2 linked regions of the Arabidopsis thaliana genome follow. The protein of the gene in region 1 interacts with the protein of each later gene in a pairwise test. Each region holds a gene or a part of one and is shown on either strand. Other genes may lie near its edges.

Region 1 (7,097 bases):
TCCCGCTGCACCATTGTGTATCTTCTAGGTTTGCCAAGGTTCAGATCCGTCTATTCCTTAGTAAAAATTGAATAGTTTTATGTGTTCTATGATCGAGTATGCGTAGTTGTTGCAATTGCTAGCCGTTTCTTGTATAAACAAATTGTAATTGTTTGTTATATGCTTCTTGTATTAAACAATTGTAATCGTTTGTTTTCTGGTGCTTGTATACTTCCAATTGTTTGCTCTGATTAATTTAATCCATGCATTGGAATGGGTGATTACCAATTGAATAAATTAAAATAAGCAAAAAAAAACAAAAACAAATAAATAAAATATAAGCAAAACATAAGCAAAACATAAGCAAAAACAAGGAGCAACTGAAACATAAAAAACTTGTTAGTTCAGAAAGTGAGATCACACATCCTTTTAACGATTTATTACCTTCTAAATCAAAATTCAACATTTACTTTACTTTTATTTTTATCACAAAAGCCATAAAAATAGTTTTTTTAGAAGAAAAACAAAATTATGAACAGTTTTAGTTATTTGTTTTCGTTCAGTTATTTCTGTTTGAATTTAGTTTTAGGAAACATTATTTGAGCCTCAAAACATTACCAAAACAATTGAATCTTATTCCTTTTTAAGCTTGTAGTGTACATAATTAGTACGTTTATCATCACTGTTATTAAATGATACGTGGTTAAGAGATCTACGGTTATAAAGTGTGCTTTATGTTTTGTTATGATAGTGTGTTTTTTTTCACTTTTTTGAATTGATATATTATCATAGGGTTTTCCAAATTGTAGACTAAGCTAATCAAGTCCATTTTTTTAAGGCTTTTATTTAAATATCATAAAATTCAAATACATTTAGAGTTTTTTTTTTTTTTTTTGTATAACTTAAGTTTAAGTTACTAAATTTTTCAATATGACTAGGTTATTAACTCTCGTTATGCGTGAGTTTGTTTTTATCGATTTTTAATATTTTTTTGGGTTTAGTATTCATTTAAGTAACTATACACAATATATAGTAATGCAAAAATACTATTTTTTTTTTTTTTTTATTAATTCTAATATATATTTTTTACTATATATTTTAGAGTATTAATTTATATTTAATGTCGAAGTAGGTTTTGAAAATAAAGACGACAAGTTTAATATGTTTTCAACCCTAATAATCTAAACCAGGACCGAGAGAAGATTTTTTGCAAGTGTTATTATATTTCATCCAACGGAAAAGATATATTTTACATCTTGTTTTTGCTCTCTTTTTGTTACAAATAGTTTAAAACCAATATAAGGAGAATACATAGCTTATTTCGTTACTCATTAGGGCTCTTTCATCATAGTAACCCCATAAATGGTTAAACAGTGTAGTGTTGTTGAATGGTATCAATGTCAAGCCCCTTGAGCTTCACTACAGATTCAACGTGACCCTTTAGAGTGTGAAGCTCTCTCAGCCTACAAATAAGAAACAATACCTTGTTTAGTTTGGTTTGATTATCCAATGTTTTTTCTTAAAGAATATGACAAAGAGGATTAACTTTATTACCTCGCAACTTCGGCACGCCTTTTGGCCTGCTCTGCTATTTCAGAGAGCTCGTTCTTATTGTCGTTGAACATTGCTTCTGGAGGTGGTAGACCATGGAGTGTACGTTGAGCTAGTGCCCACTGAGCCTCCCTCTCTCCTTTTCCATAATCTTTCTTAGTTGTGAACGCAGTCTGCAAAAGATTAAAGAGCTATGAAGCTCACAACTAACATGGATTTAAGGTAAAGTTTTGTTTCCGAAATATGCTCACTTTCTGGTTGATCATGTTATCCCAAGCCTTGCCAGTGAGAGCGTAACGGATGATGAACTTGAGAATATCAAGAGGAATGTAGGTAATGATACTGTATACCCATATACCTCCAGCCCATCCCCATCCACAACCGACGATTCTTGCGAATCCCCAGTTTGCATACACAGCGATCAATGTAGCCACCTTGTTTGTTGCATAAAAACGACACATGTATCAGACGGTAATGAATGAAAATGGATAGTATTATGGTACAAAGAGAGTCTACTAACCAATTGTGCTATAACAAAGGCTATTAGGAGCAAAAACCCAGGTCGTTCAACAAATGACCAGCTCCTTGATCTGGTTACAAAGATAAGTGCTTGACTTATGATGCTCACTTGAAGATACAAAGCTGCCATAAGTTCTTCTTCGTTCCCTTGTATGGACCTAACTCCAAATGTTTTCTGCAATTTAATATTGAAAATAAGTATAGTAACCGAATGTTGTTGATGTGATATTGTACACTACTTACGCTGAAGAAGTCTGTGTCATGAGCTAGCCAGAAAAAGAGTACAGTGGTAAGAGCCATGTAGGTTCCTAGAACAACGCCAGTGGCGAAAATCTCATTGAGCTTCCAAGAATCTGGCACCGGGGAAGGTTTAACCCTGTCCTTAGAGATAGTCATGATGGTTCCATCATTTAGGATTGCGATAATCAAGACCATGAAAGGTGCGAAATCAAATCTCCAGATTAAAGCAACAAGCATGAATCCCAAAACAATACGGATAGTGATGGAAACAGCGTAGATTGTGTAGTTCTTCATCCTCTGGAAGATAGCGCGACTTGTCAATACGGCACTTATTATCACGCTTAGTCCTGGTTCTGTTAGAACAATGTCTGAGGCGCTTCTTGCCGCATCAGTAGCATCTGCCACTGCAATTCCAATATCCGCTTTCTTCAAAGCTGGAGCATCGTTTACACCATCTCCAGTCATCCCACAAATGTGCTTCCTCTCTTGTAGCTTCTTTACGATCTCATACTTGTGCTCTGTGTAAACCAAATGAAAACAATGTAATTGAACAAACCAAGTGAGACTGATGTAACTGAACAATATTTTAACATTTGACTATTTGAATATATTACCAGGGAAGACTCCAGCAAATCCATCAGCTTTCTCAATGAGCTCATCGATAGGGATGCCAACTAATGATTCATCCTTTGAATTGCCAAGGAGTGAAGTGGATGGGTACATGTTGGTTCCCATGCCAAGCCTACGACCAGTCTCAATACCGATGGCAAGTTGGTCACCGGTAATCATCTTAACATTGACACCAAGCTCAAGGGCTCGTCTAATAGTTTCCGCACTGTCATGTCTTGGGGGGTCAAAGAGTGGCAACAGACCAACGAACTCCCATGGACTACCATCACTTTCCTTAGTCTTCTCAGGCACAGTCTGCATTTGAATAGAAAAGGAATTTTCTTAAAACCATATAACGAAATATGTTTATGTCATTATGTGATGAGTCTAACTATGACATACCTGTTGAGCAACACCAAGAGAACGAAGCCCACGTTCAGCAAAACCATCGATAACTTCGTGTGCTTTTCTTTTAGTCTCTCCTTGGAGATTGCAGAGTTCAATGATCTAGTAATAATAAAGTTACTCAGATAAAGATAGTAAGTTAAATTAAAAGTAAAACCAAGCATATTAGTTACATTACCTGCTCAGGAGCTCCTTTACTGCTCCGATGCCAGTCTCCGCTTTCATCGATGTATGTGATCGCTGTACGTTTATCTACAGGGTTAAAGGGCAAGAAATGCACCTCTGTGATTCCTGCTCTTGCCTATTTATTTCATCAAAAACAATTGCAACATAAGGACAGTAAACAAAATGAATCCAAGTTTCACAAATATGAAGTACGTACCTCTTTAGGATCACCCAACATTCCGACGATGGAAGCATCAATGGCATCTTGGTTTTCAATCCTGGAAGCTCTTGCAGCCATCAATACAACTGAGTCACTATCCATGTTCTTTGGGAACACTTCAATTAAGGACTTGTCGACAGAGAGCTTGTTAAGGGTTAGAGTTCCAGTCTTATCACTGCAGAGAACATCCATTCCAGCCATTTCTTCAATTGCAGTCATCCTCTTGGTGATGGCACCTTGTTGAGAGAGTCTATGTGATCCAATAGCCATTGTTACAGACAAAACTGTTGGCATGGCGATTGGGATTCCTCCGATCAAAAGCACCAATAGATTATCAATACCATCTCTGTATGTGCGGTGTTGGATAGGGTACATAATCAATATCTCAATCAACATCCCCAATCCAATTGAGCATATACAGAAGTTACCAATTGATGTCAAAACCTGGAAAATAAAAACCCAGCCGTGAGACCCTAGGTAGACCAAGAGTTACAGTACTCAGATGTTGTTCATTTCTAAAATACCTTTTGGAAATGGCCAACATTGTTGGTACTGTCAACAAGATGAGCAGCCTTGCCAAAAAAGGTGTGGACACCCGTGGCAATGACAACAGCCTCAATCTCACCTTGCTTGCAGGTTGAGCCAGAGAATACTTCATCTCCTGGGTGTTTGGTGGTTGGAAGGGATTCACCAGTAAGAGCAGATTGGTCAATTTTTAAAGGATCTCCTTCGAGGAGACGAGCATCAGCAGGAACAATGTCACCCAATTTGATGCTTATCAAATCACCCGGAACCAAGATTGAAGCCTCTTGCTCCCCCCATTTACCATCTCTCAACACCTACATTCACACATAGGTTATATAACTCTCCTTTTTAGAAAATACATACCTATATATATGTATTGAGAAATTTGCATACCTTAGTCTTTGGTGCAAGATTTGCCATGAGAGCAGCAGCGGCATTGCCAGCATTGTTCTCCTCGATGAAACTTATGGTGGAGTTGATGATAAGCAACACCATAATACCGATAAAATCTTGCCAATCCGGCGCCTTTCCTCCTCCATTAGCTAAAACAATAGCCATGATTGCAGCAGACTCCATAACCCATGAGAGAGGATTCCACATGAACCCCAAGAATTTCAAAAACTTGTTCTCTGATTTCTCTTCAAGCTTGTTTGCCCCAAATATTTCAAGCCTTTTAGCACCTTCATCGCTGGACAAACCTTCTTTTGAGCATTTCAGCTGCTCAAACACTTCTTCCACAGGGATCCGCTCCTATAATATAAATCATTCAAAAATTATTACAGATTTTCAACAGTTCAAGATCTCGAGAACGAATTAAACTCTGTAAAAATCTTACAAGGTCCACATTTTCTTTCTTGATTTCATCCCACGAGAATTCAGTCGCCATTTTTCTTCCTTAAAAGAGAGACAGATATAAAAAGAAGATATATCCGATGGACGTATAAATCAACTTCTCCCTTCTCTCCTTGCTCTAAAGCCTTCTCTTAGCATGCAAGACGCTTTCAAGACGAGGCCATAAGAGAGAGGGAGAGAGAGGAAGAAGCGTGTATTACAAGAAACCTATGAGAAGGTATAAATACAAAAGAATAACACACTCTAAAACAACCATTGTTGTGTTCCATTTAAAACCCTCACCAGCGATCTAACTCTATTCTCGGAACTTTTTTCTTTTCTTCCAGTAATCAGGTTTGGTGGCTTACCAAAGCTTTCGCTTATTTCTTCCTGTCCTTTTCTCTACACTTTCTAAAAATAGTGCATCTCAAATTTAGCCTATGATTTCAATGTAACATGCAGAATTTACTTTGAGGAGTCAATATGTCTTTCTATGGTCCACAACTCCGGATAAAAATGTGCATTAATAATATGTATGTAATTCAATATACATATCTATTTAACAATAAAACATTGTAAATACAGGCATGTATGATTTATATGTAAATCTAGTAGCAAGAAGACTCTCTAACCTCAATGTTTCATTTCAAGCATCGGAAAAGTTTATCAGGGGGATTGTGATAGTGAGCAAAGAGTGACGGTCTTTGCAGCAAAGATGTGGCATGTAGCTAGTAATTCCAGAAAATCTGGTCTCTCCGCAACTTTTTCTTGAGATAAACTCCAATTAGCTTTCTATACGTCCAGTTTTTCCGTGGACTGAACTCCAAAACAGCTTCCGAGCTAAGATGGAAATCCCCTTTCCCCAGAACTTCAAATGCAAGTGGATCAGTTAAGACAAGAGGAGAATCGTCCAGATTCATTCGGTTGTATACAAACTCCAAATTTCTCGCTAGTCGCTTATCCATATATGCATCGACAACACATCCGAAAGTCACAAGATCCGGAACAATGTTCAAACGTCTCATATGTTCAAGAGTGAGATGTAGATCCCAGAAGAGAGCCATTCTAGAAAACGCAAGAGCGCGAATGTTAAAGGTGGTAAGGTCAGGAGAGAAACCCGCATCAAGCATTCCAATAAACTCTCTCTGCAAGCTTTTCATCTTAAAATCAGCTGCATATGACAGTAATACAGAATTCCATAACATATTTCCAAGATTTCTTCTACCGAGACCAACATCTGACAAAAACTCGCGTAACCGATAAAACTTCCGTTGTTTCAAGTACGCTAACACCACAGCTCTTATCTCTTCTTCCTCTATCACAATACCAAACTTCTTAACCCGGCCATAAGCCTTCTCCATCTTATCTAAACTACCGAAAAAACTATAGTATCTAACAATCACATTAGCAGTCTCAGCCTCTAACAACACTCCCTTTGAATCCATTTCCTCTATAACACCCTCCATCAGTTCCAACTGTCCATTCTTACCAAAACAGGATATAGCAAGTGAAGACACAACCGGAAGAAGCTTCGAGTGCCTTGCAGCAACATCCTTGGTGATCTTGGCAACTTCATCAAAACAACCAAATTGCTCATAAGCAGATATAAGCTTAGAGACTACAAAGACATCAGGTACAAAACAACTGTTTATAATCTCATCCCAAATCGTACGTGCTCGAAGAACAAACCCATTTTCAGCAAAACAAAGCATAAGAGCACAAAGGGTTCTGTAATTTGGTAACAAGTTAACTGATTTCGTTTGGAGAAAAATCTCATGAGCTACATCAGGTAATCTTCTCTGGCTTAAAGTTTGAACTAATGGAGCGTAGTCTACGATTTGTATCTTTTGACTGAAGTCCCTAGATAGCTTTGATTCCTTGATCAACTGTACAAAGTAGAGAGATACCTAAAATTCAAGATATGAAGTGAACTAAGAAACAGAAGCAAGTGTGTAGGTACCTTTTTCGCGATTGAAGGAGCAGACGAATCCGTGTAACAAGATAAGAGCTTGAGATGTTGGGGTTTCAAAGATAGATTGAGCGACAACATTGC
Region 2 (7,654 bases), on another chromosome or scaffold:
TTTTCTATAGCCATTTGAGCAATTATGGCAAGTAGTGATCATCCTATATGCAAAAAAATTAGATGGCCCAATTTCAAAAAGACATCAGTGAAAGGAGTTTCCGAAGAGAGCAAGCAATGAAGCAGAGATAGAACCTGGATTCAAAAATTTCATAAATAGATCGGAGAGTGCGAAAACGTAATGGCATAAATAGATCAGAGATTCCACAATTTGATGATGATGAAGAAGCATAGCTCTTGTGGTATGACACGTTGGCATGACATGCCAAAGCTACCCGCGCAAGATGGAGGTGAAGCAGGGACTCACTCTGTTTGCTAGGAAGCAGGACATGAAGGTTCTTGACGCTGAAAGCGGACACGACTTTTTGTGGATCTACTTTTCATTTTCCTTGCTATCCCTTTGGAGTCTGTATGGGAAATCACTGGAAGCAATATCGACCTAGTATGCATTGGCAACTTTTGTAGAAGCTTGAAGGACTTGAGCTCTAGGGGAGGCACAGATGCATCTACTAACACATGTATGCTTCCTTGGCAATATAGTTTGCAGAAACCGTTGCTTGGGGTCAGTTATTTAAACAGTGACGGTAGTTCTCAGTCGACACCTCATGGTAGCAATGGGTTAGTTAAGAGAGGGGCAACATACATTGTCTCAGATGATCTTACTATTTGCGTAAAGAAGAAGTTTGATGTGAACTTGGACGATATTTTTGAGCATGAAATCAACATTGGCAAAACACATGTATATCTATATTACTATTCTTTCCTGATATTTTTTTTTGAATCTGACACTAATCCAGGCCATAGGTTTACTAAGAGCCTCATTCGTGACATCCACTGCCTTGACTACGGCTTTCGGGAGCTTTCTTTCAGAGAAACGACTCTAAAGCATCAATCACATGCCCTCTGTGGAGCAGATTGATTTGAAGTTTAGGTTTTGTTGTCTACAGTGCTAGTTGAACAAGTTACCTTCTCTTTTACACTACTGTTAAGTACAACCTTTTGTTCTTGAATTTTAATGTCTTTTGATTCAAAAAATGTTTATCCTTTTCAGAAAATAGAATCTAAATACATGATCAGGTTGGTGAATAATGTTTGAGCCGGTAATGGGATTGGGGTTACATAATGATGATCCCATAGCTCATTTCATACAGCCAACAACATACATAAAGTGTTATTATAATACAAAAGAAATACTTTCATTCATCAAAGGACAAAGAACAAGAATCTGACAATAAACTATTGCTTCTGCGTCTTAGTCCAAGGTTGTGTATCTTAGATCATATGTTGAAGATCTTGGACTATTTCTGATATCGGCGGTCTAAATCCTGGTTCCATCTACAGACAAAGATAAGCATGCACAGAAGTCAAAAGGGTTAGTTAATATTCTGATGTCACGTGTTTGACATTGCTTTCTCATCTAGTTAAGTGATGAATGAAGTTAAGTTTACCTGCAGTGAACGTGATATGATATCTGCAAAACGTGACAATGATTTCATTGGATACGCTCCGTGTAATGACGGATCAACCATTCTTGTCAACGCATCGATGTCATGAAGCCGAGGAATCGCCCACTGAGCTAGTGTTTGATGTCCCCTCGGCCTTGTCCTGCAAAAAAAAACAGGGTTTTGTCTTGAGATAGTGTAGTACAGTGATTTTGCATAAGAAACATAAGTGAACATGTTGACTTTTGAGTTCAGACTCTTTTATGGCTTCTATTAGTTGTCTCTTTAGAGTAGCTAACCTGTCAAATGGTCTGCGTCCAGTGAGCAGTTCTAACATTACAACCCCAAGGCTAAATACGTCGCTCTGACAAGTGTAGCTTCCATACTCAACCTCAGGAGCGGCATAACCCGCCATCTACAATTTTATAAGCAAACATCATATCCTTTACAACACTCACTCTTATGTTTGGGATCTTCAAAATAAGATGACAAATTTACCTGACTCGTTGGGCGTGGTGGTAACATATAAGCCAAACCGCTGTCTGCAACACGTACTGAGAGCTTTCCATCAAGAAGAACCTTGGAAGACTTGAAATTCTGGTGAACAACCGGCGGTTGACATACCTCATGAAGAAACCTGAAACCAAACTCTAAGATCCTATATGTTCCAAATATAGATTGGCGTAACATGTTGAGGTTCTTTAACTTACTGCAATGCCTTTGAAGCTCCTAATGCAATATTTATACGTACATTCCAAGTGAGCTTCTTGTGCAACTTGCGATCCAAATGTAGTGCATCTTGAAGTGATCCATTAGGACAGTACTCATACACAAGTAACCTTTGACCAAACTCGTTACAGTAACCAAGAAGCTCCAATATATGACCGCGTTTAAGCTTCAACACATTGGAGACTAGATTGAGGAATTCGCCGTCACTCTGTGTTCTGTTGATGGTATTGCTCAGCTTCTTCACCGCAAGAAACTATAGATCACAACGTGTCAAGACGTAAATAAGAATGCACAGCATAAAATACTGTAAGACCAAATGACAAATAAGAGGAAAGTGTCACACCTTTCCATGACGAAGCTCAGCTCTGTAGACATTACCAATCGACCCTTCCCCGATTATATTCTCTTCTGAGAAATTATTTGTGTATTGCTGAAGTGAAGCAATGGTGAAAACAGTAGCAGAAGATGAGGAATTCAAGCCCGGGGGGAAATGAGCCGCTCTCTTTGAAGCAGTATCATTGGACTGGAACTGCCTCGGTGGTTGTTGCAGCGGCTTTTGAGGTGTATTAACATCCTTATTATAATATGAAGTAGGAGGCATTGCTCTCCGGCTCTCTTCAGCCCGCTGTGGCATTGGATACCCATATTTCCTGTCTCCAGCTCCATATCCATCGAAAGGCTTAACCATAGGCTCCCGAGAAACTGCAACAAAAGAAAACACCACAGCAGTTTGCCGTTAGGTAATGAGCCAAAGCACAAGTTTCTTTTCTTTTCTTGGAAGGAAAAGAATCAGTGTACCTTTTCCCATAGTGGGGGTTGGTTGAGATGGAGGCTTATTGAAGTATGGTCGTTGTAAATCTTTACGAGCTCCACTGTAATATCGGTTATATATTTTACTTCTGCAACATCTCCAAAGTGTAACACACAAACCGGATACAAGAACAATTATGGCCACTGAAGAAACTACTAGAATGATTCTTTGAGTGGACCAGAATTTTCCTGATCCTGAACCTGAAGGAGGTGATATTTGCAAGGTAGGTTGCCCTGACACAGAGTTCCAGGGATCTCCTCCTCCATTATCAGAAGAAGGTGGTGACCAGACCAGAGGTGGTGATGGTGGTGGATGTTGTTGTGGTTGCAGTGGAGCAAAAGGAGCAAAAGGTGCTGGGGGAACACCAGAAACAGGAGGGATACGGGGAACAGGAGGAGCACGGTGAGTAGCGGGAGGAGGATCAACCACAGGCGGAGGCGGTGGTGTTATAATCGATGTATTGAACGGAGTTCCATCTTTTCTGCGGTTATAATGACAATGTAACATGAATGGCTAAAGAAAAGGAAAAAAAAAACATTCAAGTTTTCTTTTAGTAATACTTACTTGAAGTTTGGAATTTTCAATAGATTTGGCGGTATAGGTCCCGAGAATAAGTTGTTTTCTACATTCCTGAATCAAAAATATGAAAAGCCATAGTGAGATACTGAAGTTGGCTTAATGGTTGGAGAGTCAAGAACAAAGAGTATGCAAGGTGAAAAACGATTACAAATCGGTTAAGAAAAGATCCTCTATAACATCAAGTGTTCCTGTGAGCTTGTTGTCCTGCAAATACCTACAGTCCGACCACATCACATATAAAAGCAATGATAACAATGTTTGTATACGGTTTCATATATGTGCACTTACAATATCTTAAGAGAAGCTAAGTCTCCCATGGAAGAAGGTAAATGCCCCTCCAGTATGTTAGACGATAAGTCCCTGCATTAGAAACTTAATGTATAAATGAAAGACGCTGATGGGAGGATACAAAATGAGACTTAGTGAGGAGGAAATATACAGTTTTGTCAGTTTTGATAGCTGCTGAAAGTAATCTGGTATCTCTCCTGATAGAAGATTGCTTCCCAATGACCTGAAGGGAAAAGAAAGAGTCTGCTTCAAACAGAGGAAAAACCGCAGATGCAAGAAACGGTATCTACATTAATAAAGACTTACAGTTCAGACAAATCGGATAGAAAGGACAATGTAAAGGGAATGTTCCCAGTGAAGCGATTGCTTGAGAGAGATCTGAAACAAGAAAATGAAACCAAACATGAAGTGTCTTTTAACTGTTGGAAACATAAGTATTGCCATACACATAGTCAATTCTCAAACGCACAGGTTTCGGATGGAAGAAGGCAAAGCCTGCGGAATTGTCCCTGAAATATGATTGCTACTGAAGTCCCTGTCCACTCAAACAAAGAAGAGAGAAAAAGTATCACAAAGCAATTCAAGATTATAACCAAACCTTATAGTCAATGGTAACAACATCTTGCATGTTCTTCACATAGCAAGAAGCCTCATACAAAAGATGAAGATGAAAGAAAACAAGACAAGAAGCTTTGCTTACATGACTTGGATAGATGAAAAATCAGCCAGAGTATCACTTAAGCCTCCACCTACCTTCATGCCAGGTATCCTTCTGCAGCCAACAACAATAATTCACGTGGTTAGAACCTGAATTGGTGACTCAAAGCAAACCATAACAAAGAGTTACAAGAGCAGAAGAGGAAGTATACATTTCTGTGATGTTTGAGGAGTCACACACCACACCTTGCCACTTTTCTCCACAAGGGTCTCCTCCAAAAGCAAGCCAATGATGTAGAGATGGTGCTCCCAAAGTGATATACAAGTTATTAATCGCCGAAACTGCAGAAGTTATTAAACAACAGACAAACACATCAAAAAGTAAAATTTCTAGAGATTAAAGAATCTTTCTTATGATAACCATTTAATGAAGAACAATAAGAACAAATTTCTTGGTCTTGAACTAAAACCCTAACAAGAGCTTATGTGTCAAAAACCTAAACTTTTTAGGGTTTTTGAGGTAGCCTCAAAATCATAGAACTTTGCCAATCTGGAGCTTCCCAAACAGCTATATTGCTTACCTAGTTTACCCTAAAACTGATGTAAGTCATTTTCACTAGACACAAGTCTAAAAAAAATCTAGAGTGTTCACTAAACCAAAAGAAGGAGAGTCAAAGCAAAATCCAAATAAAAAAAACTTTGCAGAGAAAGATTATTACCATCTCGTAGATTAGTAACTCCAGCTGAGAAAGGCATTGTCAAGGCTAAAACAGAGAGACCAAAGAACACTTCCCATCTTGTAAAGCTCATAACTTCAGCCACTGAAGATGAGAAAACCCTTGAACTTGGATTAGATTGTTTCTTTCCAATAAAAAACGAAGATTCAGAGGGAATGTTATGGAAAAAAAACACGAGGAAGAAGAAGAAGAAGAAGAAGAAGAAGGGTGAAACAGGGATATTCCTGATTAAAAGGTAAAGTGAATCATAATTTCGTCGGATTTTTAGGAGAGAGAGAAAGAAGAAAAGAGATGAAGAGTGAGTGAGAGAGAAAGAGTGTAGTGTGTTTTGTCTCGAAGAACGAGCGGCTTACAAAAGCCAACGGCTTTGTTTTTCTCAGTTTTAAGCCTTTAAGGTTTCGTCTCCAAAGTGTGAAACAGAGAAAACTTGCCAAGACTTGTCTCTCTTTATGTCTTTTAATTGTCGCTTCTATGCTTCATCTAATTACTATAGTTTCCTTTCATGTAATAATTGGATTTTTCTAATGCCATAAGGTAGAGAGATAGAAGTGAATATTATTTTGATGTAGATTACATATTCCGTTACTTCACCTATTAAAATCCAAATAATGTAACAGGCAGAGTTTATCACACTTATTTCAGTGAGATGGGCCAAGAAAACAGTTGAAGTAAGAAAAGCTCTGAGAATTCTTTAATGGAAGAAGAGAGTGAGAGACCCTACAACAAGGTCAAAAAAAATATCATCATATTCATCCCACGTCCATTTTTGCTCTTTTGGTGATAAAAATGTGTGAATTAGTTTTAGTAACAAACTAATAGCAACAAACTATTTGAGAAAACTAGTACTTTTACATGGTTTGGAAATTGATTTCAATTATACATCTTAGTGAATCCTAATATATGTTTTTAAACAATTAGAGCCAATAAAGGGTTTTTTCTTACGACTTTAAATTGAATATACTTAGTAATTATACAATAATTATCTTTTCAATATATTCTAAAAATAACTAACTAATGTTATATGTATGATTGCACGGTGCATTTTGGTTACCATTCGAAACCTTTGTTTTTCTATTAATAATTAAGAATTCTGGTTTTGTGTTTACAGTTACAACTAACAATCACTATTTATCAATTTCTTTGGAATATATTCTTAATTTGTATTATTCTTTGTTTGTTGGTTGATGTGATGGAGGATTTGTGTACAATTCAATAGTAGTAATTTAATGGAATGCCATCATTGCATAATTTGAGATGAGAGTAACTTCGATATTCATATGTGATTACTTCTCAAGTTCCTTTTTTGGTAGGAGTTACTTCTGAAGTTCTGATATTCACATAAATTATTTGCAACCCGAATAATAACAGCAAACATACATTGTATGATCAATAAAGAATAAAACATGCTTGGTGAGCTTATGTGTTGATATTAGATTTTTATTTTGTCGAGATCAATTAATTATCAATCGATTTTTTTGGCTTGTCAAAATCAATCAAGTTCACACCATACACGATAATAAGTTGCGACTAGTTAAAAAAAAAAAACCACATTCTTATGGGCTATTCAAACCAAATGTGGCCCAAACTTGGTCAATAGTGTAATGGTAAAGCCCACTTGAAAGAAGATACCTCTCGTAGGCCTAATAATGCAATGAGATTGCAACGGTTACTTTCAATCTTTGAAGAAAAGTAGAAAACTATCGTACATGATGCTTTTTTGCACCCAAAAAAAATCGTACATGATAACATTTTTTTTTTTCAAAACCAATATGCCAAGTGCCAACCATAATAAACCGAACCAAAATCAAATAAATAATACCGAATCAAATTTTTGTTTCGACCGAACTCGACCCAAAACTACACCAATCAGGTTGGATTCATTTTGATTCTTGTACTTCAAAAAATCAGAAACCCCATATAATAATGATTGTAGCACTTATACATGCATACCAAATTAGTTATGAGATTGGAAGATGCATGATAATGAATTCAAACTATTGGTCTCTTAAAAAAGAGTGTCGAGGAAAAAATACAGATATTGTAAAGTTAGGCTTTATTTTATAATATGGTCTCTCATTACGCAAAAGGCGAAACAAAATTAAAGAATGCAACACTACTTTATGGTCACCCGTTAGCCAGAGGATCCAAGGCACATAACGAATGTTTTATTTATTTAAATCAAATCTAGTTACGTATCTACACGAATTTTGGTTCAAGTTTTGGTTTTACATCACCCTAGCTTTTTCCGCCCTACCATTTTACATCAAGAAGCTTCAAAGAAAAAGTTCTATAGATTATGAAAAGTCAAAAAAAGAACTTAAAAGAATTTGTTAGACGATACTTGGATACAATTTGCTGTTATGCACTTGATCGTTTTGAAAATATTAAATTGATCAGAACTATTGAATTGTC

The links.
Region 2: the proteins of HA8 (region 1) and SUB interact in a protein complementation assay, tested with the Arabidopsis thaliana proteins (one large-scale study listed by BioGRID).

The regions. Positions count from the first base shown.
Region 1 is NC_003074.8:14,722,311-14,729,407, reverse strand, and holds HA8 (H[+]-ATPase 8), read right to left. Parts: upstream 5,306-7,097; 5' UTR 5,100-5,305; coding exon 5,049-5,099; intron 4,964-5,048; coding exon 4,607-4,963; intron 4,528-4,606; coding exon 4,213-4,527; intron 4,133-4,212; coding exon 3,686-4,132; intron 3,605-3,685; coding exon 3,482-3,604; intron 3,406-3,481; coding exon 3,301-3,405; intron 3,214-3,300; coding exon 2,904-3,213; intron 2,808-2,903; coding exon 2,293-2,807; intron 2,225-2,292; coding exon 2,051-2,224; intron 1,965-2,050; coding exon 1,782-1,964; intron 1,704-1,781; coding exon 1,534-1,703; intron 1,443-1,533; coding exon 1,346-1,442; 3' UTR 1,081-1,345; downstream 1-1,080. Other genes in the region: AT3G42630 (Pentatricopeptide repeat (PPR) superfamily protein), read right to left, coding at 5,773-6,930, 7,005-7,094. UniProt on the Arabidopsis thaliana protein: The plasma membrane H(+) ATPase of plants and fungi generates a proton gradient that drives the active transport of nutrients by H(+)-symport. The resulting external acidification and/or internal alkinization may mediate growth responses.
Region 2 is NC_003070.9:3,720,796-3,728,449, reverse strand, and holds SUB (Leucine-rich repeat protein kinase family protein), read right to left. Parts: upstream 5,743-7,654; 5' UTR 5,316-5,742; coding exon 5,225-5,315; intron 4,882-5,224; exon of another isoform or gene 4,848-4,881; coding exon 4,718-4,847; intron 4,621-4,717; coding exon 4,549-4,620; intron 4,384-4,548; coding exon 4,318-4,383; intron 4,227-4,317; coding exon 4,155-4,226; intron 4,072-4,154; coding exon 4,000-4,071; intron 3,921-3,999; coding exon 3,849-3,920; intron 3,775-3,848; coding exon 3,709-3,774; intron 3,612-3,708; coding exon 3,546-3,611; intron 3,463-3,545; coding exon 2,969-3,462; intron 2,873-2,968; coding exon 2,514-2,872; intron 2,424-2,513; coding exon 2,152-2,423; intron 2,079-2,151; coding exon 1,940-2,078; intron 1,857-1,939; coding exon 1,741-1,856; intron 1,605-1,740; coding exon 1,448-1,604; intron 1,335-1,447; coding exon 1,272-1,334; 3' UTR 1,000-1,271; downstream 1-999. Other genes in the region: AT1G11145 (hypothetical protein (DUF674)), read left to right, coding at 284-334, 406-738, 814-918. UniProt on the Arabidopsis thaliana protein: Regulates the expression of transcription factors that define the cell fates.